Linked DNA regions of Ovis aries. The protein of the gene in region 3 interacts with the protein of the main gene of each other region in a pairwise test. Links are inferred from orthologs where the notes say so. Each region holds a gene or a part of one and is shown on either strand. Other genes may lie near its edges.

Region 1 (3,515 bases), on a different chromosome or scaffold from region 3:
TTAACCGGCATGTCAGCATTGCAGGTTAACATTCACACACTGTAGGGAGAGGTAACCAGGGGAGAGGGTCCAGCAGAGAGACGTAGGATGAGGGAAGGTCCCAGAGGACTATAGATCATTGGGCGAGCACTTTTGTGATGGGATGCTTCTTTCTTCCCTTCCAAGGTGGTGTGGTCCCTGCAAGATCCTGGGGCCCCGGTTAGAGAAGGTGGTGGCCAAGCAGCATGGAAAGGTGGTGATGGCCAAAGTGGATATCGATGATCACACAGACCTCGCCCTAGAGTATGAGGTATGGATCGGCAGGGGATTGCTACAGGGCAGCTGGTGGGGGTGCTTGGGGTCACGGGGTAGCTGGAAATGTCTTAGGGACCAGCAGGGAGTCAGTAAGGGGGTGTCCTGATTCTTTCTAGAACTCTCAGGGGTTTAGAACTTTGCAGCTGTGACTCCATTAATCTTCTGAGCCTTCTGTCTCTCTTCAATACCTTTAGGAACTGGGATGTATGATCCCAAACACCAGGTTTTTCTCTGAGTCTCAGGAAGTTGATGGCCCTTCCTCATTCATGGATTCATCTATCCGTCCCTGCAGTGTGCCAGGCGTACATGATGCTGGCACAAACAAGATGAGCTCCTTGTCCCAAGGGGAGCAGGGAGGGGAGTAGAGGGGACAAGGAATGTGTCACGTTAGAGGGACCCTCTGAGCAGAGCTGTGAAGAAGGCAGGGCCAAGAGCACACAGACACGAAGACATGAGCTGCTCTCCCGTGTTTGATTGACTTGTCCATTTCTTCAGCAGACATGTATCCAGAGTGCCTTCAATGCCAGGGCTGTGACTCGGGGCTGAGGATGCGGCAGTGAACAGAACTAACAGAGTCCCTGCCTTCGTGGAGCCTGAGTGCTAGTGTTTTAGATTGGGCGTCCACAAACTTGTTCTCTAAAGGACAAGATGGTACCTGTTTGAGGCTTTGTAGGACACCGGTCTCTGTTGCAAATGCTCGCCTGTCTTGTAGCTCGAGGGTAACCATAGAATCTACATGAATGGGCACGGCCATGTGCCAGCAAAACTTCATTTACAAAATTCCAGGGTTAGACTTGTGGGCCACAGGTCACTGTTCCCTGTTTCAGATAATAAGTGTCCTGGGAAAAAAGAAATCAGGAATAGCAGGTGGGAGTGCTGGGCCTAGGGCAGGGAGGGTTTCCTTTTTTTAAAGGGTTGGGTAGGGAAGGCCTCACTGAAAAGCACCATCTGAGCAGAGACCTGGAAGGGGTAAAGAATGAACGATGCAGCTCTTTAGAAGTGGATTCTGGCAGAGCAGATATCTTTTACAAAGACCCTGAGTGAGCAAACAGGCAGCTGGGAAGGCCGACTGTGGCCGCATTGGGAGGACCCTGAATAGCCATGCTGAAGACAGTCATTACAGAGCCAGGGTCACATCTGGCTCAGTGACTTGACTGGGCTGGTCCTCGAAGTGGTGTTTTTTTTTTTTTTCAGTAATGGACTGGATGCTAATATTTAAAACTGAGAAGATTTCATGCGAAAATCCGTATTTCTGGTTCTCTGAAATATCGGGTTCTGGCCATAGTGAACCTTCACTCTTTCCTGGTAGTAGTGATGAAAGAGGTGGCCTCTCCCTTTCTCAGACTTTGGAAGTCCATGTTTGATTCCCTTGAGACCAAGTCAAGTAGAGATGCCTGTCCACCACAGTCCCTGTGGCAGGAAATGGGTAGGGGCAGGGTGAGAATAGACTGGCTGCCCCTAGACCTGGGGCTAGGAGTGGTCCCTCGAGGAAAGCCGGGCTGCCCTGACCAGAGGCAAGGGCAAGAGATGCTGGGCAGGTAAAGCCACAGATGATGACTGCAGGTGGTTGGGGGGATGTTACCCCAGTAAGACTGCCCACAGCACTGGGTGACCAGAGCGGCTTACAGGGCTCAGCTGTCCCACTGGCCGCTCAGTCAGGGAGGCACTGGTCTGGCCATTTAGGGCCCCCTGACTTTGTTGCTTGTCCATCCCTCCCCAGAGACCCGCGGGAGCTGTGGGCGTGGGTATGGCCTTCCGGTGTGAGTTCAGGGCTGGAGCTTCTGGCCACCCCAGGAGGACGGACAGACTCCACATGTCTTAGGCTCCCTCCCTCCGGATACCACAGCTTTGGTCTCAGCCAGTGGAACTTAGGCTAACACATCCCAAGCACCAACCATGCCCCAGGAGCTGTGGTAACTATAAGGATACCAGGGATAACCCACTTCCTCCAGCTGTGGTCACACGGGTGGTAAGAATTCCCAGGACCACCTTGCTGGGATTGCCAGGAGTCTGTGTTCCTGGTGACATCGGGCCTGGCCCTGAAGTCCTGTGGTTAAGCCTGGAAGTGTGTGGCAGGGGAGAGGTTCTCTTGTAGGGTCTTCTCTGTCTGTCCACTGTCCAGAGAGTACATGGGTCATACAGAGGGACCTCAAGACTGCTGGGCCCAGGTCACCTGGACACAGCCTTTTGGTCTTGCCAGGTCCTGAGCTGACCAGTTGCCAGGTTATTGTTGGCTAAGGAAGCTCCCGCAGGGATTCTTCCTGACCCTTCCCCTACCCTCTTCCTTCCTTCCTTCCTTCCTTCACACCTGGTGTTTCGGAAGAGAGTGTGAGGACATGTCAGCTAAGGGATCCATAGCTCCTCCTGGGACAGCTTGCTCCAAGGCCTGAAGGCCTTTTCCAAATGGTGAATGAACTTGGAGAAGCTGCTTTAAATCATATTCAGGGAATTAGGGGCTTCTCCCCAAACTCTTCTGCCACTCCCAAGCCCAGCACACATTCTCAGGGTGTGTCTCCTTCTTTGCACAAATTCCTCTCCCTTGCCACCACACTCTATGTTTCCATTAACTATCCACCCTAGAATTTCACCATCTCCCAAAGGAGAGAGGAGGGAAGGTCGCCCAGGGCCTTGGGGTGTGCCTCCCCCCACCACACACACACTGCCCTGAGTTGGCCAAGTGAAGGGCCCTCTTCTTCCCCACCTCCTCAGGTTCTCTGGCTGGGCATTCCCCGATTGTTCAGACCCCGCAGAGAAAGAGTGGCTCAGGCTGTGGACCTTGACCCTTAATACTGTCCTCTGGGGCTTCTGATGTTCACCTCACACATGGAGTTTCATTATTTATCTCATCTTACAGAGAATGCCCTTTAAACAGCATTTTCAGAACAACCAAATAGCAGTAATCTTACCATCCAAACAAATCACTGCCAACATTTGGGGTACCTTGTTTGGGTTTTTTGTTTGAAATTTTTTTAATGGTCCATATAACCTCACAGTGGAGAAGGAAATGGCAACCCACTCTAGTATTCTTGCCTGGAGAACCCCATTGGCAGAGAGGCCTGGCAGGCTACAGTCCACGGGGTCACAAGAGTCGGATGCAACTTAGCGACTACACCACCGCCACCACCATAACCTCACAGACAGTTCATTGAATCATAGTATTTCAGCATTACTGGAAATCACACAGTACTCCAGCCACTGGGCTTCCCTGGTGGCTCAGTGGA
Region 2 (3,515 bases), on a different chromosome or scaffold from region 3:
GGCTGGAGGCGAGCAGGCCGGGGGCTCAGGGACTGGACCTCTGCCCTGCTGGCAGGCACCGTGCTGCCCTTGGCCAGTACTGGGCCCAGCCCGGGGACCTGAGCCATTCTGGGGAAGTAACTTGGTGCTTCTCTTGGGGGACTCGGGCAGCTGGGGTGCTGGCCGTTCAGCGGGCCTGAGGACAGCCCCAGCCTCGGCTTCGCCCCCTCCCCATGCTCTCCAGGAAGGACAGGCCCTGGGTGCCAGGCCATCACGGCACCAGGGCTCCTTTCCCCAGCCCCCTCAGGGAAGGGTGGGGCCAGGGTGTCAGAGCCCCCAGCCTGGCTGAAGGCCCCGCCCAGGCCAGCCTGGGAAGGACAGAAGCGCCAGGTGTTAACGGCTGCTTCCCGACTCCATCACCCCAGCCTCCTCCCTCAGCGCCGACCCTGGACACAGGCCCCGAGGGACACGCAGCAAAGGGCTGGGCATGAAGCAGACGCCTGCCTTTGTACCCTACTGCCGCCCCCGCCCCCTGGAAAAGCACCAAGCCCCAGCGGGACAGGGAAGAGGGGCTGGGAGACCGGGGGCGGCAGCAAGGGCAAGGCGGGAGGCTGGGGTCCCTGGTTGAGTGGGCCACCGGTCACCCCTCCTCCAGGGCCCACACCCAGAGGAACGTTCCCCCTGAGCTGGATCAGGGCTCAGACAAAGCGGTCAGCCCCCGAGTGCCGCCTCCTGACACCCCGTCACCCACTCCCCTGCCCGCCAGGGGCGGCCTAGACTGGCCTTCAGGGAGGCCAAGGAGAGGGCGCAGCGAGTGAGTGGGTCACTACTGACCAGTAGATCGTGTAGGCCTCTGCTTGAGCTGGGTCTTGGATATTTGGTTCGTTTAGAAGTTCCTGTATTCCTAATAAGATCTGCACGAGAGAAAACACAGCGGTGGGAAGGGCAGGCTCTCTGGCCGTGGGCTGGGCCCACTGGGGGGTGGGGTGGGGTGGGCACGTACCTGCTTGATGGTGATGGCTGGCCGCCAGTCCTTGTCCTCCTCCAGGATGGACAGGCACACCGTGCCCGAGGGGTACACGTTTGGGTGGAACAGCGGCGGTTCAAACTTGCCTGGAGCACAGGGAGGGAGGAGACGTTTCTGGAGGCAGGTGTCCCCTGCACAGGGCCCACCGCTTCCCTGGCGCCCCTCCCCCACACCAGGTGGGAAAAACTAACCGGCCCCAGGGAGGCGGCGGGGGGAAGCGAGCAGGCCACCGGACAGGCCCAGAAGGCAGGCCCTGCTGTGAGGGGGTGGGGTGGGGTGGCATCAGAGCACCGCGCCCTGGGCGGGACCCCTGCCCCAGGGCCTCCCAGTGGCCTGGCTCAGGAAGAAGGCAAAGAGTCCCTGCAGCGGGAGGCGAGAGGCCGGGGATGGGGGGGCACCGGGCAGAAATGCAAGGGCCCTTCCCCACCAGCGGCCATTTTCAAATTCATCCTGCTTCAAAACCAGAGGCTTTTAGGACCACAGGCTCTTTCTTCAAGAACAAAAAACATAGTTCGCCTTCTTTAAGGAAAAAGATACACATACAAAATTGGAAAAGCCTGCCACCCTGAGCCCCACCGCGGACCGTTCACTCACCTGCTGCTTTGGCCAGTTTTCCTCACCTGGACACTTTCCCCTCTGTCTAAACACGCCACACCCGGAAGAGGGCAGCAAGCGCAGCAGTGTGGTTGACGAGTTACCAAAGGTGAGCACACCCGCTTGTCCAACAGCTCTGAGAAACCTGCCCCCGCCTGGGCTCAGCCCACCCCACTACCACGCAGGCCTCGCTGGCAGGCCTGGGCGCTGGCCTACGAACACCAGGGCACAGCTCAGCCACTATGAATGGAGCCACAAGGCCTCCTCAGCGTGAAACTGCCACTTGAGCAGATGCTGCTGGTTCGCACGGCGGCTGCATCAATTCACACGCTGCCAGTGGGTCTTCAGGCTCCCAGGCTTTCCGACCGTGCCAGCCCGGTGGTGCCCGCCGGCCATGGTGCTGATGTGCGGCCCGCCATGCCTGGTCAGGGCTGCTCCTCTGGGAAGCTCTTCCTCGATCTCTGGCACGTCGTTCTTGCTGGCTTGCAGACGCTCTTTGTATACAAACACGCAGGATACAGGCCCACGGTCAGGTGTCTGTCCGCCACTTCGAGTCCGTCTCTTTGCTCCTTTAGTCGTGCTTTTTGGTAGATGTCGCTTCCCATCTTTAACTGAACCTGAGGCAGCGATCTTGCTTCTCGTGCAAAGACGCTGGCCTAGCACCAGGACCCCAAGCCCCGCCGTGACCTTACCCCGCCTCACGGGCATGGCTGACCCCAACTGAACATGGTCAGCGCCTCCCGTCTCCGGCACGTGCGGGCCCTCCTTCCCTCTGCGCAGACTGACCTCTGCCCACTGTGCAGACTCAAGGGCTGCCCCAGGTCTCTCTGGGCTTCTGCTGGGCTCCTCAGGGAGCACCAGTCCAGGGACAGGCGTCACGTGCAGCCTCAGGAGGCCTGCCGAGCGCTCTCCAGGGAGCACTCAGGGCCGCTGGGCTGCCCCCCACAGTGTCCACGAGGAGCTGGGTGCCCTCCCGGGCCACCGGCCAGCTGGAGAGCCTCTTCCGCGAAGGGCTGTCCGAGCTGACGGCTGCTTGCTTCTCCTCACCAGCGTGCGGGGGCTCCGGCGAATGTGAGGAAAGAACTGATGACAGACACATCCATCCCTCCTCCTCACGCACACTGCCCCGGGGGAGGGCACAGTCCTGACTCCAGGGCCGCCCAGCTCATCGCTTTCCCCCTGGTATTTCCAGTTAAGGGCTCTCGTCCACCAACATGAGGGAGGCTGTCTCCCCAGCAGCTCCTCTTCCTCTGGGCGCCAGGATCCCCGGGAGTGCCCGTCCCTCTTCTCCCACCCGCCCCCCACCCCAACCAATCGTACGCGGCTGGCCTCTGCTCCGCAGGCCTGCGCCCCTGTCAGGGTGGGCTCCCACCTGACGAGCCCCGGCCTGGGCCTCAGGACCCCCCGGCCCCAGCCAGAGTGCCAAGGCCGGGGCTACTGTCAGCACTTGCCTCCCCCGCGTTTCAGCCCGGGCAGCAGCTGACAGAAGTCTGCCTGATCACACTGGACCCGCAAGCAGAGCCGAGGGCAGGGGCGGCCCCCGCGCCCCCGCGCCCCCGCGCCGCACACGCTCGTCCTGCCAGGGCTTGAGGCGGCCCGGGTCCTTGCCGAGGCCTCTTTTTTTGGCCACACTGCAGGGCTTGTGGGATCTTAGTCCCCCAACCAGGGACTGAACCCCTGCCTGCAGTGGTGAAAGCGTGGAGTCCTAACCGCTGGACCGCCAGGGAATTCCCTTTAAAATTATTTTCTATGTTTTTTTCCAGCAGTGAGGCCTTACATCGGTTGGATTTACCCAGTGGTATTTGATGCGTGTAGTATACTTTAGAAGATGCCATCTCTGGTAATCACAGGAAAATAGACTTTTGTGAACTGCTCTTTCATTCAGCAGCCTTAGACTTGGAGAAATACTGGCTGT
Region 3 (4,059 bases):
TGAGCCACTAGGGAAGCCCATCTTAGGCCTTTATGGTTCACTTAAATCTGGTTCTCATAGTCACTGTCATTTCTTGACAACTTGTCATTTCTTGACATTGGGCATCTCTCCTGGCATTCCCCTGTCCCAAACTCTGAGGCCATCTCCAGAGACTGGGCTGTCATCTCCAGAGACTGGGCTCAAGAAGCAGGAGCATTAGAATATATCTTGTCCCTCAGCACCTTTTCCTAAGACTCTCTCTCCATCTGACTGGGAGCTCTTTTTGATCTCCACACTCTTTTAATCCCCTCCATCAAGAGACCTATGGGGCAGCTGGTTCTTGGGGAGTGAGATATAGGGACTGGCATAGCTGGACCCTCCCCAGGCTTCAGATCTAAGATTCCCTTCAGGATATGACTCTTGCCTTAAAGGATGCTTTCTTCATTGCAATGTCCAATTCCAGCTTCTCAGCCATCTCCTGCTTATCTCTTAGTTTCTTTAGTGCCACCTGAAGCTTTTCCTGCAGAGAACGAAAGCAAGATGATACCCAGTCAGGTCAAGAAGTAGGGTGCAGTGGTGTGAAGTGGGGGGAAGATCATACTGGTTCTTAGAAGAGGCTGAGTGCAGAGGACAAGGAAGGACTAGAGTCTGTTTGGGGTAGGAACTCTGTGGATGGGAAGGTTTTGGAAAAAGCCTGATATTTCTTACAAAATAGGGCCACACGGTTGGTGTACAAAGGGTGGGGGCACTGCTTGTTCCTAATTAAGCAGGAGGCCACAAGGGAAGAAGATTCTTGAAGCATTTTCCCATAGCACATCCCTGCTCTGTGAGAATGAGAAAACTGTGCTGAGCTTGCCATTTCCCCCTTAAATAAGACATAGAAGGCAGGAGACCCCTATTCTTTCCCCAGCCCCACAGGTAACTCTCTCCCATTTCCAGCTCTGGGGAACAAAGCCATCAACAGGGCCCCATCTCCTTTTTACCTGTTCCTGCCTCTGTGCTGAGGACTCACCTGGTACTCCTGAGCAGCCTCCTCAATAGGGACCATGGGATGATCACGGTGTTTCTGGGACTGGGAACACACCCAGCAAAGGGCCTTCCCATCTGCCTCACAGAAGAGGTGAATTTTCTCTCTGTGCACCACACACAGCTCCCCGTGTGGGCCCTCCTTGGCACCCTGGCTGATTTTCCTAAGGTTGTCCACCATGTTGGCTACCTGTCGATTGGGCCGGAGATTCTGGAGCAGGAAGTGGCGCCGGCACACAGGACAGACGCTACCTCCTTCTTTCCCGACCTCAGAGATGCACTCCTGGCAGAAGCTATGACCACATTCAATGCTCATAGGCTCCACCATGGGATCCAGGCAGATAGAGCACGTGACCTCCTCCCACATCATTGTCAAGGGTACGGCTGAAGCCATTGGGGTGATGCTCCTCTTCGGTAGTGCTGGGGAGATCTTGCGGTGAGGGGAGAAGAGGAAAGGGACGGAAGAGAAGAGCCAGGTAAGAAAAGGGAACCACGAGAGAGGGTGAACTGGAGGGAGTGAAAACAAGAAAAGACAAGGACCTCAACCTGAATAGTGCTCCTCTTCCATAGTCTGGGTCACTGATCCAGTCAGACAGAAGGGGACACTGAGTCCCCAAGAGATAGCAAATATTGTTGAGAACCTGAGAGACAGCTGCTTACAATTCGACTTTCATCATGTTCATCTCTGCTTAACCGCTCAGAGTCCAGGCTTTACCTATTGATCTTCTGCCTCAGGCCACTGGTTTTCTACTCTGTTGAGAAGCTAATCTTAACAGTAGCGACCATTGACTGTGCTCGTTCCATGTGCCAGGTGCTACATGCTTCACATACATTCTCATTAATCTTTGCAATAGGCAGGAGTTATTGGTATCTATCTAATCATCGGTAACATGAATATATATAAGAATATTTATATTTATGCTTACATATTTTCATAAGGATACACGTATATCCGTAAGTACATGGGCTTCCTAGGTGGTGCAAGTGGCAAAGAATCCACCTGCTAATGCAGGAGACACAGGAGACAGCAGGTTTGATCCCTGAGTTGGGAAGATCCCCTGGGGAAGGAAATGGCAACCCACTTCAGTATCTTACCTGGGAAATCCCGTGGACAGAGGAGCCTGGCGGCCTACATACAGTCCATGGGGTCGCAAAGAGTCAGACACGACTGAGCACACACACACACGCATATGTATATGTGTGTATATATGTATGTGCATACACACAGAAGCGTGAGGTTTATTAAGAACTTCCTGGGCTCTTCTCTCAGCTACCCTGAACCTGGCCCCGCCTTTGTTTCTTCTAGGGCGCAGACCCATAGTTTTCTAATATCCTAAGCAACCCTGTCTCTCTCACCTCCAGAGGGAGCCTTTTGGGGACAGCAGTCTCAGGGATCGCGGACCTACCCCCACACCGGGCTCCCGGACCACCCCTGAGCTAGGTTGCCATCCTGGTTCTCCCAGTTTCCCTGGTTTTTCTTCCCAGCTCAGGTGCCGGCGGAAGCAGAGCAATCCGAGCTCCTTCCAGGGGACATCCCAGTCAGGTTTACAGCCCAGCCTCCTCCCAGGCTGCAGGGGAAAAACTGCTGGGTTAAGGTTGAGGGAGACCTGTTGCGAAAGAAAACCTGAGATCGAAATCTCTAGGGGTGGGGACGGCTTGGATGAGGCACTTCAGACCTGGGGCAGGGGAGAGAGGTCCCCTAGGGAGAGCTGGGGTACCTCGGTCTAGCCAAGTTCACTCACCTTTTCAAGAGACGCAGTGGATGGCAGCCGTTTCCTTATTTCACTTTCGATTCCTTGTCCACCGCAAATCTGAAAGGGAGGCGGGCAGAGCGGGAGGAGAGTGGGCGGGGCCAAGGGAGGAGGAAGGCGGAGGGGTTGAGGTGCCGCCAGAGTCTGGAGCTTCTGGGAGGCTGGGGCGAGCGAAAGCTCCGCAGCCTTTAGTCCTTGCTTTGCGTTCCCTCCCGTGTCCTCATTGTGTAATAGAGTGAAGCATCGTATCTGCTGCGTGGAGGAGCCATGCAGGCCTACGTGCTGTGCCCTCGTGTGGGAGCTGCTTTAAAGGAGGTTTGGATGGACAGGGGTGCCTGGAGGTCTCCTCTAAAGGCCATCTTCTGTTCCCTATTTCCAAAAACAATTCCTTTTCAGGAGACTTGATATTCTTTTAACATCAGGGGGAGAGCAATTTATTCCACAGTACCTCAGCGCATTATCACACCAGTGAGTGGTAAGAAGGGACTTGACATTTATTGAGGCAACAACTGTGTACTTATCCTTGAGCCAGGGACTTTCTCAGGTTGTTTTATTATTATTTTAAATTATGGTGAAGTACGTATAACATTTACCATCTTAACCGTTTTCAAGTGTGTAGTTCAGTGGCATTAAATACGTTCACAGTTGTATACTTCACCACAGTCCATGGAGTCTCAAAGGGTCGGACACAACTGAGCCACTAAGCACAAGAACGGAGAAGGCAAGGGCACCCCACTCCAGGACTCTTGCCTGGAAAATACGAGGGACAGAGGAATCTGGAAGGCTGCAGTCCATGGGGTCGCTGAGGGTCGGACACGACTGAGCGACTTCTTTCACTTTTCACTTTCATGCATCAGAGAAGGAAATGGCAACCCACTCCAGTGTTCTTGCCAGGAGAATCCCAGGGGCAGCTTGATGGGCTGCTGTCTATGGGGTCGCACAGAGTCGGACACGAGTGAAGCGACTTAGCAGCAGCAGCAGCAGCAGCAAGCACAAGAAACCTCAAAGAGCCAGGGAGTAGTGGCAAATTCCTATTTATAAGAATCAGAGTTTTTACTCTGGTGGAAGAACTTCTTTCTTTACTAGACCCTTAGAACAAGGCTGAGCCCTGTGTTGGGGGATGGAAAGAAAATGATCTGTAAATGAGTTACTAGTTTGAGGGAAATAGGAGCTGCAACCACCTCCCTTCTTTATTCTCTGAAGAGTGTGTTTATAATGGCTATAAAAAATACCATCACCTATTAGTTGTTGATCTTAGATGTGCACCAGAATTTATGGTACAACATTCTTATATCATAGAGTG
Region 4 (3,515 bases), on a different chromosome or scaffold from region 3:
CAGATTCCCTGAGTCTATTTCCTGCTCTGAGGTCTGCCTGGTGGTCCTCCAAGGGCCCTGAAAGGCCGCCTGACAGAGCATGGACCAGAATAGGGGCAGGATCCAGGATCCTGGCCTGGGGGATGCAACTGAGGCTGGAGGGCGCCACCTTGTGGTGCTGTGTACACACCACAACCCGGGCACCCAGGGTTCTGGCTCTGAGCTAGGGGAGAGGGCTTGGGCAGGATGCCTGGGGTGGAGCAGAGGGGACAGTGTGTGTGCGGGGATTTCTCTGAGGGACACTCCAGGCCCCTTTCCCAGACGGCACTGGTGCTGGCTCCCTAAAACTGTTCATCCCCCTCCTGCTCAGACAGACAAACTGCTCTCCAAGCCCGCCTTCTCTGCCCCACCCCTGGTCTTCACACTTGCTGTTCCCTGGGCCTGGCATCCCCTGTCCTTTTTGTGCACCAAACTCCTACTCATGCCTCAGGGCCCAGCTCAGATGTCATCTCCTCCAGCCTGTGGAATGTCTGCTGCCATCGAACTTCCCTCGATCAGGCATCGTGGAGGCCCCAGTCCCTCACTCTCTGAGGGACTCCTCCCCTGTCCTACACACACACACCCCAAAGGTTGAGCTGGCTGGCCTGACCCCGTGGCTGGGGTGGCGGGTCTGCATGCCCAGGGAGGCTCCAGGAGAGGGCAGGGTGCCAGGGCACCCACGGCAGAAGTTCAGGCCATGGGATCCACTCTCAGGGGAGAGGGAGGCAGGTAGAAGCTCAGTTCAGGCTGCAGATGTGGCCAAAGAAGGCCCCTGTGCCCTCCTTTGCGGTGACCTTGGAGCTGATTCCTGGAGCGAGGCCAGACCAGCCCGCCTGGCGGGCGCCTCTCCCAGGAGATACTGGGCCCTGGGAGCTGGCACAGGGAAAACTGCCACTTCCTGTTCCTCGGGGGACCCACTGGCCTCAGGGGCTGGGCTGTGGAGGGAGGGGCAAGCCAGGGGGCTCCAGACGCTCAGGGACAAGAACTGGGGTCTCACCACCCCTGAGGCTCAGAGAGGAGGAGAGCCCTTGCCTTGGATCAGGAGCTCAGCCTGTTCCCAGGGGAAACGGAAGTGATAAAAGCCAAGACTGGTGACAAAGCCTGGAGAGGGGCGGGTGAGGGCTGTGACCCCTGATGGGGGACCACCATCCCCAGCAGCCCTCCTGACCCCGACTAGGAGAAGCCCACTTGCTGGGCTCCAGTGTGCCAACCACACACCACCACAAGCTCTGTACAGAACAGATAGGAAAGGCCTCCCTTGGGGCACATTTCTGCAAGCAGGAGCCTCATGGCTGGCCTGCTGGGAGACATGAGCTCTTCCCTCCTCTGAGCCTGGTGCCCCATCAGAAGCCATCAAAGCCATCAACATAGGTGTGTTTATCCATTGGAAAATCAGCCAGCCATTGGCTGTGACACATCCAAGTTCTAGAAGACTGGTGCCATCCAGCACACTGAGGCCACACTGCCCACAGCCACCCACCCATCCCATCCAGCTACGTGCCCAGTGCCCTCAGCAACCCTGATGGTGGTATTATTGGTGGTCCCAGTTCACGGGCACATGGCACCTCCCTGACCCTCCAGCCCCATCCCAGTGCTAATACCAGAGGCTCCGCCTGGCTCTTTCCAGGCCCCCCCTTGATCCCAGCCATCCTCCTCCTCGGTAGCCCAAGGGATCCACTTCCTTCCCCTAGTGGGGATGCTCCGTGGGGGCCTGTTGTTCTGGGGGAACCCGCCCCCTGGTTGGGACCTATCAGGCCATTCTCTCTGGATTTGACACCCCTCCCCCCACTGGCTTTGCCCAGTCACCCCAGGGGCTTTCCATTTGCTGTTCCCTCTGCCTGGAAGCTCTCCTCCCAGTCCTCACTCCCGAGGCCCCGGACAGCCTGCACCGCAGCTGCAGATCTCTGCTCAAACCTGAGGCCATCAGCCCCTGCCACCTGGCTCCTGCTGTGTTCGTTTCTCTCCTTGTTCAAGGTCTGTCTCCCCGACTAAGACACAAACCCTGAAGGACAGCAACTTTGTTTTTTCCCTGTTGCTTCCTGAGTCCCTGACGCTGCCCGGCACACTGCACACAACTCAGCGACTAGTCCTTGAATTGCTGCTCCCACATCCCCCTGTTTCAGGTGCAGAAGAGGCAGGACAGAGACAAGCAGGGCCCGACCCCCTCCCCGGTTCCTGCCCCTCCTTCCACCTGGACTCCTTATTGCCCCATTGTGACTTCTGGTTTCAGGTTCTGCTCTGCCCAGAGGCTGCTACCCTGCTTCAGTGGCAGCCACTGTTCTAACGGCTCTCGATAGAATGACTCATTTGCTCCTCGCAATAACTCATTTTACACGTGAGGAAACAGGTACAGAGAGGTTAAGTGACATGCCCAAAGTCACACAGACAGGAAACGGCTGAGCTGGAACGTGAACCTAAGCGCTCTGGCCCCAGGGTCCATCCTCTTGACTGCGTAGCACAAGGGGGACCCTGTTCAGAGCACACCCTGGACACCTACCCTGGGGGGCCTGCTGCTCTCCCCCTGCAGCCTTGTCATATCAGCTTCCCCTGGTGACTTGCTGCTCATGGAAAAATGGCTGACACTTTGGCCTGGCATGGGAGGACTCCCAGTCAGCCTCCAATCCTCACTGCCCAGGGCCACTCCCTGCAGTCACCTCACACCCAGACGATCATTTGCTTCCAGGGGTCTGTCGTTCCCTCCCCGCTCCAAGGGCCTGTCCTTGCCCACCCTCCTCCGCGTATTCGGGTCAGAACTCACTTCACAGAGACAGAGAACTCCCCTGGGGAGCTCTCGCTCTCCCGGATCAGGAAGGCTCCTGGGTGGTTTCGCTTCCTCAGAATCTCTTCCGCCAGCTGCCGGGAGATCCGGCCCGAGTACCACCTGCAGAGAGGGCAACGTGAGGGCAGGGGCCGGCCACCCTGCCCAGTGCCGGGCACCCATCACAGCCAGGTCCTCCCAGCAGTCCTGGACACAGGAGGTGCGACTGCACCCACTTTACAGACTATCAACCTAAGGCCCGGAGAGGCAGAAGTCATGTACCCAAGGTCACAGATGGTGGCAGACAGGAGCTGTACTTAGTCCCAGCATTCTGCCTCCCGAGCACAAACCTTTGCCAACACACCAAACAAACACACGGGGCTTCCCAGGTGGCGCTAGTAGTAAAGAACCCACCTGCCAATGCTGGAGACGCAAGAGTCTCGGGTTCGATCCCTGGGTTGGGAAGATCCCCTGGAGGAGGGCATGGCAACCCACTCCAGTATTCTCACCTGGAGAATCCCAGGGCTTAGCAAGCTACAGTTCACGGGGTCACAAAGAGTCAGACACAACTGAGTGACTTAACATGAGCACAGACTCAGGCAAACACACACCTCAGTGAACTCTGACCCAGCCACCCTGACCTGGGCTTTTACATTTCCTATTGTAGGTTCTTAAAAGTGAAAAAATATTTTAAAGATGACCAGAGAGAAACGGGTTTCCCTGGTGGCTCAGATGGTAA

Evidence for each region. The genes of interacting proteins can lie anywhere in the genome.
Region 1: the proteins of TRIM21 (region 3) and TXN2 interact in binary tests that used the Homo sapiens proteins (3 or more experiments, as listed by UniProt). The two-hybrid records come from large-scale screens. The link is inferred for Ovis aries from reciprocal best matches to the Homo sapiens genes TRIM21 and TXN2.
Region 2: the proteins of TRIM21 (region 3) and UBE2I interact in a two-hybrid assay, tested with the Homo sapiens proteins (2 studies listed by BioGRID). The two-hybrid records come from large-scale screens. The link is inferred for Ovis aries from reciprocal best matches to the Homo sapiens genes TRIM21 and UBE2I.
Region 4: the proteins of TRIM21 (region 3) and GRAP interact in binary tests that used the Homo sapiens proteins (3 or more experiments, as listed by UniProt). The two-hybrid records come from large-scale screens. The link is inferred for Ovis aries from reciprocal best matches to the Homo sapiens genes TRIM21 and GRAP.

What each region holds. Positions count from the first base shown.
Region 1 is NC_056056.1:180,533,900-180,537,414, reverse strand, and holds part of TXN2 (thioredoxin, mitochondrial), read left to right. Parts: intron 1-165; coding exon 166-289; intron 290-3,515.
Region 2 is NC_056077.1:1,573,691-1,577,205, reverse strand, and holds part of UBE2I (SUMO-conjugating enzyme UBC9), read right to left. Parts: coding exon of another isoform or gene 3,348-3,515; exon of another isoform or gene 2,182-3,347; intron 1,093-2,181; coding exon 983-1,092; intron 894-982; coding exon 814-893; intron 1-813. UniProt on the Homo sapiens protein: Accepts the ubiquitin-like proteins SUMO1, SUMO2, SUMO3, SUMO4 and SUMO1P1/SUMO5 from the UBLE1A-UBLE1B E1 complex and catalyzes their covalent attachment to other proteins with the help of an E3 ligase such as RANBP2, CBX4 and ZNF451.
Region 3 is NC_056068.1:49,571,358-49,575,416, reverse strand, and holds the start of TRIM21 (E3 ubiquitin-protein ligase TRIM21), read right to left. Parts: upstream 2,804-4,059; 5' UTR 2,101-2,803; intron 2,064-2,100; exon of another isoform or gene 1,932-2,063; intron 1,436-1,931; 5' UTR 1,400-1,435; coding exon 992-1,399; intron 500-991; coding exon 404-499; intron 1-403. UniProt on the Homo sapiens protein: E3 ubiquitin-protein ligase whose activity is dependent on E2 enzymes, UBE2D1, UBE2D2, UBE2E1 and UBE2E2.
Region 4 is NC_056064.1:33,955,605-33,959,119, reverse strand, and holds part of GRAP (GRB2-related adapter protein), read right to left. Parts: intron 2,900-3,515; coding exon 2,777-2,899; intron 1-2,776. UniProt on the Homo sapiens protein: Couples signals from receptor and cytoplasmic tyrosine kinases to the Ras signaling pathway. Plays a role in the inner ear and in hearing.